Linked DNA regions of Stegostoma tigrinum. The protein of the gene in region 2 binds, or shares a complex with, the protein of the main gene of each other region. Links are inferred from orthologs where the notes say so. Each region holds a gene or a part of one and is shown on either strand. Other genes may lie near its edges.

Region 1 (7,032 bases), on a different chromosome or scaffold from region 2:
CCCTGCCCTCCCCCCACAACAGCATAAACACTGCCCCCTTCACACTTCATGTCAGCTCTGAAAAATCACCTAGACGCAAAACATTAGCTCGTTCTCTCTCTCTTTCCATGGATACTGCCTGACTGCTGTGATCTGCAGCATTTGTTGGTTTCAGTAGATTCCAGCATCCACAGTAATTTACTCCTAACTGAAAAAAAACTCGAGATCAAAGAGTTAAGTCATCAGCTTGACACCATTCTTGCCTTCAAGTCAAATGTTGTGGGTTCCCATCCTGTTCCTTTAACTTGTATGCATACTCCAAGCTGACACACAACTGCATTGCTAAACATATGCTGTAACAACCAGAGTGATGCCTATTGGATGTGACTGAATTGGGATCTTGCTGCCCAGTCTGAATGTGAGGGGACTGTCAGCTGGAATTGGGATCTTGCTGCCCCAGTCTGAATGTGAGGGGACTGTCAGCTGGAATTGGGATCTTGCTGCCCCAGTGTAGGGGAATGGGGTGGGGGGGGAAGAGACTGTCAGCTGTGATTGGGGTCGTGCTGCCCCAGTGTAGGGGAATGGGGTGGGGGGGGGGGGGGGAGAGAGAGACTGTCAGCTGTGATTGGGGTCGTGCTGCCCCAGTGTAGGGGAATGGGGTGGGGGGGGGCAGACTGTCAGCTGGGATTGGGGTCGAGCTGCCCCAGTGTAGGGGAATGGGGTGGGGGGGGGGGCAGACTGTCAGCTGGGATTGGGGTCGTGCTGCCCCAGTGTAGGGGAATGGGGTGGGGGGGGGGGAAGAGACTGTCAGCTGTGATTGGGGTCGTGCTGCCCCAGTGTAAGGGAATGGGGTGGGGGGGGGGGGGGGGAAGAGACTGTCAGCTGTGATTGGGGTCGTGCTGCCCCAGTGTAGGGGAATGGGGTGGGGGAGGGGCAGACTGTCAGCTGGGATTGGGGTCGTGCTGCCCCAGTGTAAGGGAATGGGGTGGATCTTGCTGCCCCAGTATAACAGAGTGTTTAAAGGAGGAGGGGGAGGGGACGGGGCCTACCTGAAGTCCTTGTCGCTGGAGGTCATTTTCTCCAGCAAGTTGGAGATGTGATAGGACACATTGGCCATGGCGGGCAGTGCGTGAGCTGCAGGCACCGAGCTTTTTTTCCCCCCCCCTCAGTGCGTCCCTCTCTGAAACAACAACAAGAAACTGCTGCTGACGCCCCCTCGAGGACCGTCCATGGGAAAAGATGGCGCCGGCAGCCGCCCCGCCCCTAAACCGGGTCACAGGTCACGGGCACAAACCATCTCCGCCAGCCCCTGGGGGGGGAGGGCGAGACAGGGAAGCAGAGGGGAACGTAATGACGTTTCTCCCTCCCCCTCGGTCTGTCGAGTGGTATCTACCAGAGAATCCCTCTGTGAGGGGGAGACTCAGGGAGGTGGAGGTCTACTGGGAATGATCACTGAGGGATCATATTAACACTTCAGGAGCAGGCAGGGAGAGATCTACTGGGACTGATCACTGAGGGTTCATATTAACACTTCAGGAGCAGGCAGGGAGAGATCTACTGGGACTGATCACTGAGGGATCATATTAACACTTCAGGAGCAGGCAGGGAGAGATCTACTGGGACTGATCACTGAGGGTTCATATTAACACTTCAGGAGCAGGCAGGGAGAGATCTACTGGGACTGATCACTGAGGGTTCATATTAACACTTCAGGAGCAGGCAGGGAGAGATCTACTGGGACTGATCACTGAGGGTTCATATTAACACTACAGGCACAGACAGGAAGAGAATCTACTGGGACTGATCACTGAGGGATCATATTAACACTTCAGGAGCAGGCAGGGAGAGATCTACTGGGACTGATCACTGAGGGATCATATTAACACTACAGGCATAGACAGGAAGAGAATCTACTGGGACTGATCACTGAGGGATCATACCCATCCATCAGGCACAGGCAGAGGGAGAGATCTACTGGCAATGATGACTTGAGGATCATATCCCAGCAGACATGGAGGGAAAAGAAGTACTGGGACTGATCATTGATAAATAATATCAACCAAAAAGAGACACAGACAGAGCTAGAGATCTACACACAATGATCACTGAGAGATCATATTAGCCCAGCAGAGACAGATCTACTGGGACTGATCACTCAGGGATCATATTAACTCAGATTAGACACAGACAGAGTTAGGGATCTGCTGGGAATGATCATTGAGGGATAATATTAACCCAGAAGACACTAGTTGAGGGAGAGATGTACTGGGAGCGATCACTAAGAGATCATATTAATCTAACAGACATTGGCCGAGGGAGAGCTCCACTGGGGTTGATCACTGGGTTTTACCCAGCAGAGGCAGATCTACTGGGACCGATCATTGAGAGATCATATTGACCCAGCAGAGACAGATCTATTGGGACTGATCACTGAGGGGATCACATTAACACATAAGGCAGAGGGAGAAATCCACTGGGAATGATCACTGAGAGCTCATATTAACTCAGCAAATACAGACAAAGAGATCAATTGGGGATTATCAGTGAGGGATCATATTAACCCAGAATAGACACAGGCAGGGTCAGAGATCTAGTGGGAATGTTCACTGAGAGCTCATATTAACCCAGCAGAGATGCAGACAGAGGGAGGGATCAACTGGCAATGATGACTGGGAGATCATATTATCTTAGCAGACATGGAGGGGGAGATGTACTGGGAATGATCATTGATAACTCATATCAACCGAGAACAGACAGAGCTGGAGATCTACACACAATGATTGCTGAGAGATCATAATAGCCCAGCAAATTTGGAGGGATGGTATACTGGAAATGATCACTGAGGGATCACATTAAACCAATGAATGCAGATAAAGAAAGAGATCTACTGGGAATGATAACCGAGAGATCATATTAACCCAGCAGATTCAGACAAAGCAATCCGCTGTCAATGAGCCCTGAGAGATCATAGTAACCTGAAAACCCAGACAATGGAAGAGCTCTATTAGGAATAATCAATGAGAAATAATATTAAGCCAGCAGCTACAGAAATCTTGGGGCAGCACAATGGCTTGGTAGGTGGTTAGCACTGCTGCCTCACAGCACCAGGGACTCAGGTTCAATCCCAGCATTCGGTGACAGTGTGGTTTGCAAATTCTCCCCATGTCTATGTGAGTTTCCATCAGGTGCTCCAGTTTCCTTTCAGTGCAAAGATGTACAGTTTATGTTGATCAGCCATGCTAAATACAAGGTCATGGGGATGGGTCAGGGTCCTGTGTTTGGGTGGGATGTTCTTCTGAGGATTGGTGTACATTCAATGGGCTGGACAGCCTTTTTGTGCATCATAGGGATTGTATGATTCTTCTATGATTGTAAATCTACTGGGAAATCCCACTGACATCATATTAATGCAGCAGACAAAGACAGACATATACTGGGAAAGATCACTGAGGGATCATATGAATCCAGCACACACTGTCAGAGAGAGATGTCTGTTGAGAATGATTATTGAGGTCAGTCCAGTGCTACTCATATTTCTTGTCATTGTGTTAATATCTCTCATTTATCATGCCCAGTTGTTCACTCTGTCTGTCTGTGTCTCTGCTGGATCGTATATGGTCTCTCAGTGGTCATTCCCACTAGATGTCTGCCTCTGTGTGTTTCTCTGCTGCTTTCATATGATCTCTCAGTTAGTGATGCTCAGAGTACTATTGATGCTCAAGATGCCAGTGATACTCAGGGTGCTAGTGATACGCAGGGTGCTATTGATGCTCAGGTTGCTAGTGATGCTCAGGGTGCTGGTGATACGCAGGGTTTTATTGATATTCAGTATGGTATTGATGCCTAGGGTGGTATTGATGCTCAGGGCACTATTGATACTCAGGGCACTATTGATGCTCAGGGCGATATTGATACTCAGGACACTATTGTTGCTCAGGGTGATACTGATGCTTGGGGCACTATTGCTGTTCAGGGCGACATTGATACTCAGGGCACTAGTGCTGCTCAGGGCGATACTGATGCTGAGGGCGCTGTGAACTGTGTCAGTGCAGCGGCTCCATGCGGAACCTTTGTTTGCGATTGGCGGCGGGAGTCGGTCGGTTTGTGGAGCGGGACAGGTTCCGGGCTGCCACGTCTGTGAGGAGCGGAAGCGGGTTGTGGGCCCGGCGTCGAGACTGCGAGCGGAGCGGCCTGCCCGGCGGAGCCATGGTGAGTTCTCCTCGCCCCGGGGGGCTCGGCCGGAGAGGCTCAGGCCTGTGTGGGGTGGGGGGAGACGGTGAGGGAGGGAACCTGAGGAGGGTGTCTCCCCACCCCAGCTCGGATTGTGTCTCCCCACCCCAGCTCGGATTGTGTCAGGAGTGAAGGGGACTCCAATCAGGCCCAGTCCTTATACTTTATTGCAGAAATACTCCACGTTCATTAAAAATGACTCCACGTACGGTTATGAAAGGATTTCTGCGCAGCCTTGCACGCGAATAACAAACACTGGAATTTGGCATTGCCCGTAGTCACAAAATCAAAACCCCAAACCACTTCTTACTTGTACAGGTTTACATTCACATACGTTTTAGACACCGAGAGGGTCTAGTAACTGAATGGACCTTCCACCCCCACCCCACCATGGACTTTGGTAAAAATACTTTAAACGGTGGCCTTTCCCCGTTGTGGCTTGGAGCATATCATCTCTGATGAAGGGTCTAGGCCCGAAACGTCAGCTTTTGTGCTCCTGGGATGCTGCTTGGCCTGCTGTGTTCATCCAGCCTCACATTTTATTATCTTGGAATCTCCAGCATCTGCAGTTCCCATTATCTCTGTTTTTTTGTAATTGCCTTCCCTATTCTGTACAACTCAGGTCGGGAGTCACCCATTCCTCTCTAACTTAGTCCCGAACATATCTTTCCCCTCCCAGAGACAGTGGGAACTGCAGATGCTGGAAAATCTGAGACGACAAGGTGTGGAGCTGGGTGAACACAGCAGGCCAAGCAACATCAGAGGAGCAGGACAGCTGACGTTTCAGGGCTGGACCCTTTTTGAGAAAATGACCACCATATGGGGGTGGCTCAGTGATTAGCACTACAGCCTCACAGCGCCAGGGACCTGGGTTCGATTCCGGCCTCGGGCAACTGTCTGTGTGGAGTTTGCACATTTTCCCTGTGTCTGTATGGGTTTCCTCTGGGTGCTCTGGTTTCCTCCCACAGTCCAAAGATGTGCAGGCTAGGTAGATTGGCCGTGCTAAATTGTCTGTAGTGTTCAGGGGTGTGTGGGTTATAGGGGGATGGATCTGGGTGGGATGCTCCAAGGGTTGATGTGGACTTGTTGGGCTGAAGCGTCAATTTCCACACTGGAGGAATTCTATGATCTATGATTTAATGATCTGCAATCTCTGAACTTTGGACCCTCATTGATTTCAGAAGAAGGGTCCAGACCCAAAACATCAGCTTTCCTGCTCCTCTGATGCTGCCTGGCCTGCTGTGTTTGTCCATCTCTATACCTTGTTCCCTCTCCCAGTCTCAGCTCGAACATCTTATTCACAGTAATTCTCTGAGCGCGCTCTGCCTTAGTCAGCTTCGTTGACTATTCCTGCTTGTGATCCTTCCCATTTCAGACAGATCTTGAATATAGAGATAACAAGGTGTAGAGCTGGATGAACACAGCAGGCCAAGCAACGTCAGAGGAGCAGGAAGGTGGATGTTTTGGGTCTAGACCTTCCTTCAGAAAATGTTTCAGGAATCGTAGGGAGAAACACTTCTTAAGGGTCTCAATGTTCTGAATGTAGACATTGTCACGGTTGGGGCCAAATGTGGGAAGGCTTGAATGTGGGCTGTAGTCCATTGGGATGATCTGGTTCCGAAGGCAGGAGCTAAGAATAGAAGCGTGGGGCTGGGTGAACACAGCAGGCCACGCAGCATCTTAGGAGCACAAAAGCTGACGTTTCGGGCCTAGACCCTTCATCAGAAAAACATGCTCATGAACCCCAACCACAGAAACTATTGGCAACAGGAGTCTCCAGTGGATCATCTCTGGGATGACTGGGATCAGTAATAATTTAGGATGGCTCTAAGCCCCTCCTCTCGGTCTGTCCTGAGCAAGGGTCACTTGAAGCGTCTTTGGAGAGCCTTGGATTCACAACAGGCTGCACTAACAACTGCTGTTTGCCATTCATTGATACCTCCAGCCAGAGGTGATAGGCTGGTGTTGACTCCACTACCTTTGGAGAAAAAAAGGCAAACAAATTTCTTTCATTTCCTTGGGACATTGCAATGTTTTGTTGTCTCTGGAAGTCCTATATGGTAAGTTTCAAATGGCTGGCGTTCAGTTCGGGTTCATGACTTGAGCACAGAATCTAGGCTGTGACAATAATAAAGCAGTGCCACACACTTGGAGCTACCATCTTTCTGAAGATATGTCAAATCAAGACCTCATCTGCACAGTCAAGGGGGCTCAAAAAGAATGGTACAAGCAGCTTCATCAATTTCTAGAATGATACAGCACATGAGATTGTTTGGCCCGTCATGCCTGTGTCAGCGTGTTTTCTGAAGGGAATTTAGAATACATGAAAAGAATTAATTACAGTGGGGAGCAGTACGAATCGGATTTGGTGAATTGTCTCCGTGTGCTGTGAGATTCTACATTGTTAATAACTTTGCACTGAGGGAATAAGTCTGTTGACAAATTTATTTAATTGTGGTTTCTAGATTCGGGGCTTCAAAAAAGTATTTGAGCATGTGTGTTAGAGTCTAATCCTTCACCAACTAGGACAGATTCAAGACCAAACAATGAGAGATGTTATAAATTTTCTGTGTATGGTGTATAAAGTCTCCATATTGAAGTGCATTATTGAGGAAATGGTAGGTTGGGTTGGGTTGAGTGCAGTTTGCAAACAGGTGACAATGCAAAATATGGCAGCAGTTGCAGTTATTCAGAGAAGCCACAGGATCGCAGCCATGTGAACAAGTCAAACTGGTGAATGGGAAGCATTTTATGAGGTTACGCCTGGAATATTTAACATGAATTACTGGATACTGGAAATATATGGGTGTACCTTGTATTGCA
Region 2 (7,765 bases):
ATCTATGCCCCTAATAATTTTTTGACCCCAATGAGGTATTTCCCCATAAATCCAGCAGAAAACAATTTATCCAGTTTATCTAACCTCTCTTCATAGCCGAAACTCTCCAACCTTATCTTCTCAAAAGGAGAATACCTGTTTCTCCAATGACCATAATCAAAATGGTGATTGAATAAGACCATTTGGCCCTCTGCGCTGGCTGTTTGATGGGAGAATACAGATTGTCCCACTTCCCAGCCATCTTTCCATAGTGCTGCATGTACCTCCTTTGCTGATAGTATTCTGTTTTCCTCTTGAATGCCTTGATCAAACCTGACCCCATTACACTTTCTGGGAAGAATTCCAGATCCTAACCACATTAAAAAGATTTTCCTTGTTTTGCCATTGCTGCTTTTGCTAATTACATTAAATCAGTGCCCTCTAAATCCTAATCAACTAATCACTCATTTCACCAAACTTCTATCTATAAATAGGCCTAGAGGTCTTTTGGATTACCGAAAGAACTGTGGATGCTGTAAATCAGGAACAAAAACAGAAATTGCTGGAAAAGTTTAGCAAAAGTCTGGCAGCATTCTTCACAGATGCTGCCAGACCTGCTGAGCTTTTCCAGCAACTTCTATCTTTGTGTCTTTTAGATTACTTTTGATTTGCTTCTGGATTTCTCCTCTAAACTTTCTAATTTCAGCCTAATTGTTAATTCTTTAACCACCTGACACTTATCAAGACCACACTTCTTTTTCCTCTTAATCCTTCATCTGGGCGCTTTAGATTTGTTTGTTTTAACTTTTCCCCTTCATAAGAATCTACCTTGTTGGTGTTCGCTTTTCTTTAAAGGGAGCCCCTGATTCAGTAACAGGATTGTCCGCATACCTTTGCTCCATTCTAAATCCATGAAAATTGTTTTTCCTCTGGTTATCGATTCTTACTCTGGTTTCTTCCTTGTTCTTCTCCATAGCCACCCTAAATCTTATGATACAATGATCACTGCCCTCAAAATATTCCCCAACTTGATCCATTTGGCTTACTTTATTTCCAAGAACTACGAGGCCGAACAGTGCTTCTTTCCTCCACGGACCAGAGCCATAAGTCTCATCAAAACATTCCTGAACATTTAAGACTCTTGCCCCTCACTTCCTTTTACACTCTTATGCTAACTTGTATTTAGATAATTCAAGCCCCTCATCATAACAACTGTCTAATTCTTATATCTCTCTGACTCCCTTGTAAATCTGCTCCTTTCTATCTTTTCCACAAGTTGGTGGCCTACAGAATATGTCTAGTCTGGTAAGGACATCTCCATTGTTTCTTAACTGTAACCCTTTAGAAAGGACATTATGGTATTCCAGATGGTGTACAAATATATTTCCAGGGTTCAAGTTCAGATTTGTGGATAGATGGAGAAGTTGTGTTCTTTCACCTTTAGGAAGAGAAGTTTGAGACAGGAGTTGATGGAGAATTTTAAAATCATATAGTGTCATTACATTCCTTTTTTCTCATTGCTCTCTGACTCATCATCACTTTTAATTTCTGAAAAACCAAAGTGCATTGAAAGAAAACCACTTTATGCAGCGAGTGGTTAGGATCTGGAATGCACTGGAAGCAGATTCCATCATGGCTTTCAAAGGGAACTGTACATTTCCCCCAAGAAAAAAAATACAGGGCTACAGTGAAAAGGCAAGGGAGTGGGACTGGATCAGTTGCTCTTGCAGCTGGCATGGGCACAAAAGTGGTCTCTTTTGGTGCTATAACCATTCTGTGCTCTCAGCCTATTAACCTTTTTTTTAAATTTTCTGCGTCCTCCCTTATCTGGCCCCTTACTGAAACAGCTTGCACACTCCATAACATTTTCTCAAACAGTATGCACAACGAAGTCACAGATCAATCCTCCTTATCTTCCAAACAATGTTGGAAACATGAGCACAAGAGGTTGCCTACTGGAACAAGTCAGCAACGGAACAAGTCCTTCAGTACTTAATGGGGTTAGTAAGAGCTCCTGTGGCGGAGTAGTAGTGTCGTAACTATGGGCCAAAAGACCTGAGTTAATTCCCACAGGCTCCAGAGATAGAACATAGAGCATTACAGCACAGTACAGGCCCTTCGGCCTTCGACGTTGTGCCGACCTGTCATACCGATCTCAAGCCCATCTAACCTATACTATTCCATGTACGTCCATATGCTTGTCCAATGATGACTTAAATGTACCTAAAGTTGACAAATCTACTACCGTTGCAGGCAAAGCGTTCCATTCCCTTATTACTCTCTGAGTAAAGAAACTAGCTCTGACATCTGTCCTATATCTTTCACCCCTCAATTTAAAGCTATGCCCCCTCGTGCTCGCCGTCACCATCCTAGGAAGAAGGCTCTCCCTATCCACCCTAGCTAACCCTCTGATTATTTTATATGTTTCAATTAAGTCACCTCTCAACCTTCTTCTCTCTAACGAAACCAGCCTCGTGTCAAAACCTGTCTGAATACATTTACAGATATTTTTAATCAATGGACCGCGAACAAGAATAGCTTCAATAGCCAGGTTTCAGATCTTAACTAAAGTAGAAGTGCACTAGGCACTATTTGAACAGTTTGAAATTAAGTGGCGATGAGAGAAGGCCAGAGAGTCATTTTGACACGAAACATGAATTGTTTCTCTCTCTCTCTCTCTCTCCACACATGGTGCCAAGCCTGCGAAGTTTCTCCAACACCTTCTGTTTCTATTTTAAGGTAAGAGGATTATAGTCAGGGGAGGATGCGCGTTGGTCCTGCGCAGGCGCGCTCACGTTGCTTAGGCCCCCGCCAAAGACAAATCCTCAGACTCCGGCAACCAGTCGACGACAGCGCGAGCCAAAATCGGTCCCCGAGCCCCGGGCAGCGGCGCGGCTGCCGGTCAAAGTTGTTACCTGCGAGTCCCTGACCTCCACCACCACATTCTCACTGCTCCAGCGAGCCGCCATGTCAGGAACGGAGCAGGGCACCAACAACAACAAACTACGTCATCACGTTGCACAGGACGTCCGACGCAGACCTGCGTGCCCCGCCGCCCGGGCCTGGTCCTTCCCGGAAGCAGAGAGCGGTGTGTCAGTGCTGTGTGTTCTGTGGATTCATCTCGTACTGGTGGCAATGATGAATCGTTGACAGTGTCTGAAGATCTTACTCTTCAATTAAACATTTATCCTCTACCCAGTCTGAATATTTTCACCTCCATTTTTTCCTCTGAGGTGTTAAATGCAATACAGACAAAGGAAACAAAGCTATATTATTAGCATTGCAAACTTTAAGCATGCCCAGCTATTTACATAATAATCATTATCCCTGTTGTGCACCGATATGACAGTATCGGCTGACAACATCCGCAACAGACGTGGTAAATTGAGAATGCTCGCCTTGAGCGCCACTGTGCTGAGATGTTCGCAGTGGTGGTATGTGTTTGGGTGTTTTGCTTGACTGTTACCTGTTCTCCATTCCTACTGTTCAACAAGATTCGACAAGACTCAAAAACAATTGTAGATTACAAAAGTGTGGAGCTGGATGAACAATTGTGACCTGTTAACCGAGTTATTTTGTTTCTGCCAGTATCTACCAGTTTATTTCCAAAAAATCACATTGCTGTAATAGTAGACTGTTCCAACGTCAGCAGAATTTATCAATTCGTAGGTGAGGGCAGGGCAAACAATGGACAAATCTCTGCACATCAGGCTTCTACTTCAGATCTTGTTTGTAAGAGTTCTTGTTCTGGTGTCAGATTGGGGAAGTTGGGACTCCTTGAAGAGAAAATCGAGAGGGAATGTATTATTTAGATATTCAACAACGAAAGAGATTTTAGGTATTTGACAAAAGAAGAAATGGCAACATGAGGAAAGTTTTTCGCGTGATTACGATTTGGAAAGCATTACCTTAGATTGTGGTGGAGAAAGATTCAATTAAGTTACTCAAGATGGAATTTGATTATGTCTGAAAAATAACATGCAAGACAGAGGATTGGCAGATGAATTTTGGCTTCAAAAGCCACCATGGACATGATGGGCTGAAAGACCTCTTTCAATTCTGTAATCTTTTGGACCCAAACAAATACAATCCTAATCACCAAACAAAGAAAGAGACCAGAAATACTCTGCAAGAAACAGGGCTGCTTTGGCTGCTCAGCACAATGTCGCAAGCATCAAAAAAGGACAGACGAGAATGAGGCTCAGGTGAATAGAAGCAGGAGTGAGTGGAGCAGTGACAATTATAAAGAGAGGAAAGAATGTCCAAAGACAAAGCTCGAAGAGGATTGCCATTACAGCACCTAACAAGTAATAAGTTTAAATTAAATGACGAGAAATGTTTTATCATTATTGGAATGGTGCATTGTATCCAGGTCAAAAATCTCAATTAGCTTAATGGACACCTGACAAAATCAGGAAGGAACAGTGTAAGTGCAGGGATGATCAACCTCAGTTTTGTGGTAAACCAGCGAGATGATTGTTCTCAGAGATAATGGGAACTGCAGATGCTGGAGAATCTGAGATAATAAGGTGTGGAGCTGGATGAACACAGCAGGCCAAGCAGCATCTTAGGAGCACAAAAGCTGATGTTTCGGGCCTAGACCCTTCATTAGAAAAAGGGGATGGGGAGAGGATTCCGAAAAAAATAGGGAGGGGGGAGGCGGACCGAAGATGGATAGAGGATAAGATAGGTGGAGAGGAGAGTATAGGTGGGGAGGTAGGGAGGAGATAGGTCAGTCCGGGGAGGACAGACAGGTCAAAGGGGCGGAATGAGGCTAGTAGGTAGGAAATGGAGGTGTGGCTTGAGGTGAGAGGAAGGGATAGATGAGAGAAAGGACAGGTTAGGGAGGCGGGGACGAGCTGGGCTGGTTTTGGGATGCAGTGCAAGGAGGGGAGATTTTGAAGCTTGTGAAATCCACATTGATACCATTGGGCTGCAGGGTTCCCAAGCGGAATATGAGTTGCTGTTCCTGCAACCTACGGGTGGCATCATTATGGAACTGCAGGAGGCCCAGGATGAACATGTCAACTAAGGAATGGGAGGTAGAGTTAAAGTGGTTCGCCACTGGGAGGTGCAGTTGTTTAATGCGAACCGAGCGGAGGTGTTCTGCAAAGCGGTCCCCAACCCTCTGCTTGGTTTCTCCAATGTAGTGGAAGCCACACCGGGTACAGGGGATACAATACACCACATTGGCGGATGTGCAGGTGAACATCTGCTTGATGTGGAATGTCTTCTTGGTGCCTGGGATGGGGGTGAGGGAGGAGGTGTGGCGGCAAGTGTAGCATTTCCTGCGGTTGCACGGAAAGTGCCGGGTGTGGTGGGGTTGGAGGGCAGTGTGGAGCGGACAAGGGAGTCACGGAGAGATTGGTCCCTCCGGAAGGCAGACAAGGGTGGGGATGCGATTGTTCTGCTTAAAACAGACAAGGTTTAGACAATATTTAGGCATGGTGAGAATCAGGTTAAACCATCACCAATCATCTCTCTCTTGTGAGAAAGTAACCGTATGATCTGCTGTGACTATGGCAACTTTATCTTTTTTATTGTTTAATTTTATGACAATTAATTGTGTCTGGCTTTGCTGACTGAGACGAGGTTTTGACAAAGTTATTCAGTGGTGTACCGCAAAGGTATAAATGCTGCCATGTGGACGTAATTTCATCAAGTAAACTTAAGATGAAAATAAGCAACATTTTGAGAATCTGATTAACTTTGAACCTTCTCATGTGAGTTGAAGGAAGGCAGTAAGGATTCATCTGACATCTTCAGATTAATATTTCCAGTTACATGTTTTCCATTGACAGACAAATTCTGGCTCAAATACTCACTGTCTAAAGATAAAAGCTTTCTGAAACTTTCGAAAGCAGTGTGTGATAGTATATCTTATCACTTTACTCTGAAACTGACCATTTTTGTATGGTCACTTATGATAAAATAGATTTGTGTTTTCAGTTCTGTTAAGTTACTTATTTTAAAAGAAGTCACTAAGTCATTTGGACCAGTGAACGAAACACATCAGTTCAAGCAAATCATGTGGTTTGAGTTAAACGCCTTCATCAGATACCCGGTGAATAATGAAACGTTTGCATGGAAACATAGAATACAGGAATAGGAGTGGGCCATTTGATCCTTTGAGCCTGCTCCACCAATCACTATGATTATGCTGATCATCCAACTCAGTACCCTATTCCTAGATAGTAGGAACTGCAAATGCTGGAGAATCTGAGATAACGAGGTGCAGAGCTGGATGAACACAGCAGGCCAAGCAGCATCAGAGGAGCAGGAAAGCTGGATGTGGCCGATGGTTGGAATAAGGAAACACTGTCAGGTTTTTTTTCCCAAGTCCCTGTGAGTTAACACTTATAATTCAGTCCCTTCAGCCCAACAAGCCCACACTGACTCTCAGAGCATCCCATTCAACCCACCCTCCTAAATAAACACCCCTGAACACTATGGGCAATTTAGCATGGCCAGTCCATCTAGCCTGCACATCTTTGGACTGTGGGAGGAAACCCAGACTAATATGGGGAGAATGTGCAAACGTCACACAGACAGTTGCCTGAGGTTAGAATTGAACCTGGGACCCTGATGCTGTGAGGCAGCAGTGCTAACCACTGAACCACTGTGCTACCCCTAATAGCTGGTTTGTTCATCATTTATATAAGCAATTTGGATAAGAATACGGGAAGCATAGTTAGTAAGTTTGCGAATGGCACCAAAATTGATGGTATTGTGGACAGTGAAGAAAGTTATTAAAGATTACAAAGAGATCTTGATCAATTGAGTCTTGGGATGAGGAGTGGAAGATGGAGTTTAATTTGGATAAACGTGAGGTGTTACATTTTGGTAAAACAACAAGGAAAGGACTTATACAATTAATGGTAGGGCCCGGAGTAGTGTTGCAGAACAGAGAGACCTAGGAGTGCAGGTATATCATTCTTTGAAATTTGCATCACGGGTAGACAGGGTAGCTAAGAAAGCATTTAGCATGCTTGCCTTCACTGCTCAGACCTTTGAGTATAGGAGTTGGGACATCATGTTGAGGTTGTACAGGATGTGGGTAAGGCCTCTTCTGGTGTACAATTTACAGTCCTGGTCATCCTCCTATAGGAAAGATATTAGGCAATCAGAGGGTGTTTAGGAAAGATTTACCAGGATGTTGCCAGAAATGAAGGGTTTCACTGATAAAAAATAAAGGGCTGGCTAGGTTGGGACTTTTTCCATGTGAGTGCAGGAGGTTGATGGGTGATGTTATAGAGGTTTATAAAATCGTGAGAGGCATAGGTAAGGTGAATAGCAAGGGTCATTTCCTGAGGGTGGAGTAATTCAAAACTCAGAGGCATATTTTTAAGGTGAGAGGAGAAAGTTTAAAAAAAGACATGAGGAGCAGCATTTTTACATGGAGAGTGGTTTGTGTGTGGAATGGCCAGAGGAAATAGTGGATGCAGGTAGAGTTATAATATTTAAAAGACATTTAGATAAGTACGTGAACAGGCAAGTTTCAAGGGATTATCAGCCAAACATAGGCAAGTGGGACTATTTTAGATTGGGGACATGGTTAGCGTTGACAAGTTGGACTGACGTGTAAGTTTCCATGCTGTATGCCTCGATGACTAATCTCCACGGCAAATAAAAGGAGAAGTAAAATTTATGGTCTTTCAAATCAAGTATCATTCTGGGAGCTGACTCATTCTGGGATCTGACATTTCCAGTACACGATCAACTAGTATTATAACAATGTTCCATGCTGCCTTTTAAATACAAAGTGATCGAATTAACCCAAATATTT

What was found. The genes of interacting proteins can lie anywhere in the genome.
Region 1: the proteins of wdr59 (region 2) and sec13 are in contact, whole or in part, in a cryo-EM structure (PDB 7UHY), measured with the Homo sapiens proteins. The link is inferred for Stegostoma tigrinum from reciprocal best matches to the Homo sapiens genes WDR59 and SEC13. Residues at the interface, in NP_085058.3 of Homo sapiens: Ala525, Tyr526, Gly527, Asp531, Ala532, Asn533, Ile534, Pro535, Phe536, Pro537, Arg538, Thr539, Ser540, Gly541, Ala542, Arg543, Phe544, Cys545, Gly546, Ala547, Tyr549, Val551, Phe553, Thr554, Arg555, Met557, Ala644, Gly645, Lys646, Val647; in NP_899195.1 of Homo sapiens: Val4, Ile5, Asn6, Thr7, Val8, Asp9, Thr10, His12, Asp14, Met15, Ile16, His17, Asp18, Ala19, Gln20, Met21, Asp22, Tyr23, Tyr24, Gly25, Leu28, Val42, Pro59, Trp61, Gln62, His67, Pro68, Tyr79, Ser105, Asn107.

The regions. Positions count from the first base shown.
Region 1 is NC_081364.1:60,402,332-60,409,363, forward strand, and holds the start of sec13 (protein SEC13 homolog), read left to right. Parts: upstream 1-4,015; 5' UTR 4,016-4,038; coding exon 4,039-4,188; intron 4,189-7,032. Other genes in the region: cullin-associated NEDD8-dissociated protein 1-like, read right to left, coding at 1,029-1,096. UniProt on the Homo sapiens protein: Functions as a component of the nuclear pore complex (NPC) and the COPII coat. At the endoplasmic reticulum, SEC13 is involved in the biogenesis of COPII-coated vesicles.
Region 2 is NC_081369.1:11,740,238-11,748,002, forward strand, and holds the start of wdr59 (GATOR complex protein WDR59), read right to left. Parts: upstream 3,005-7,765; 5' UTR 2,949-3,004; coding exon 2,895-2,948; intron 1-2,894. Other genes in the region: mixed lineage kinase domain-like protein, read left to right, coding at 4,238-4,286. UniProt on the Homo sapiens protein: As a component of the GATOR2 complex, functions as an activator of the amino acid-sensing branch of the mTORC1 signaling pathway. The GATOR2 complex indirectly activates mTORC1 through the inhibition of the GATOR1 subcomplex.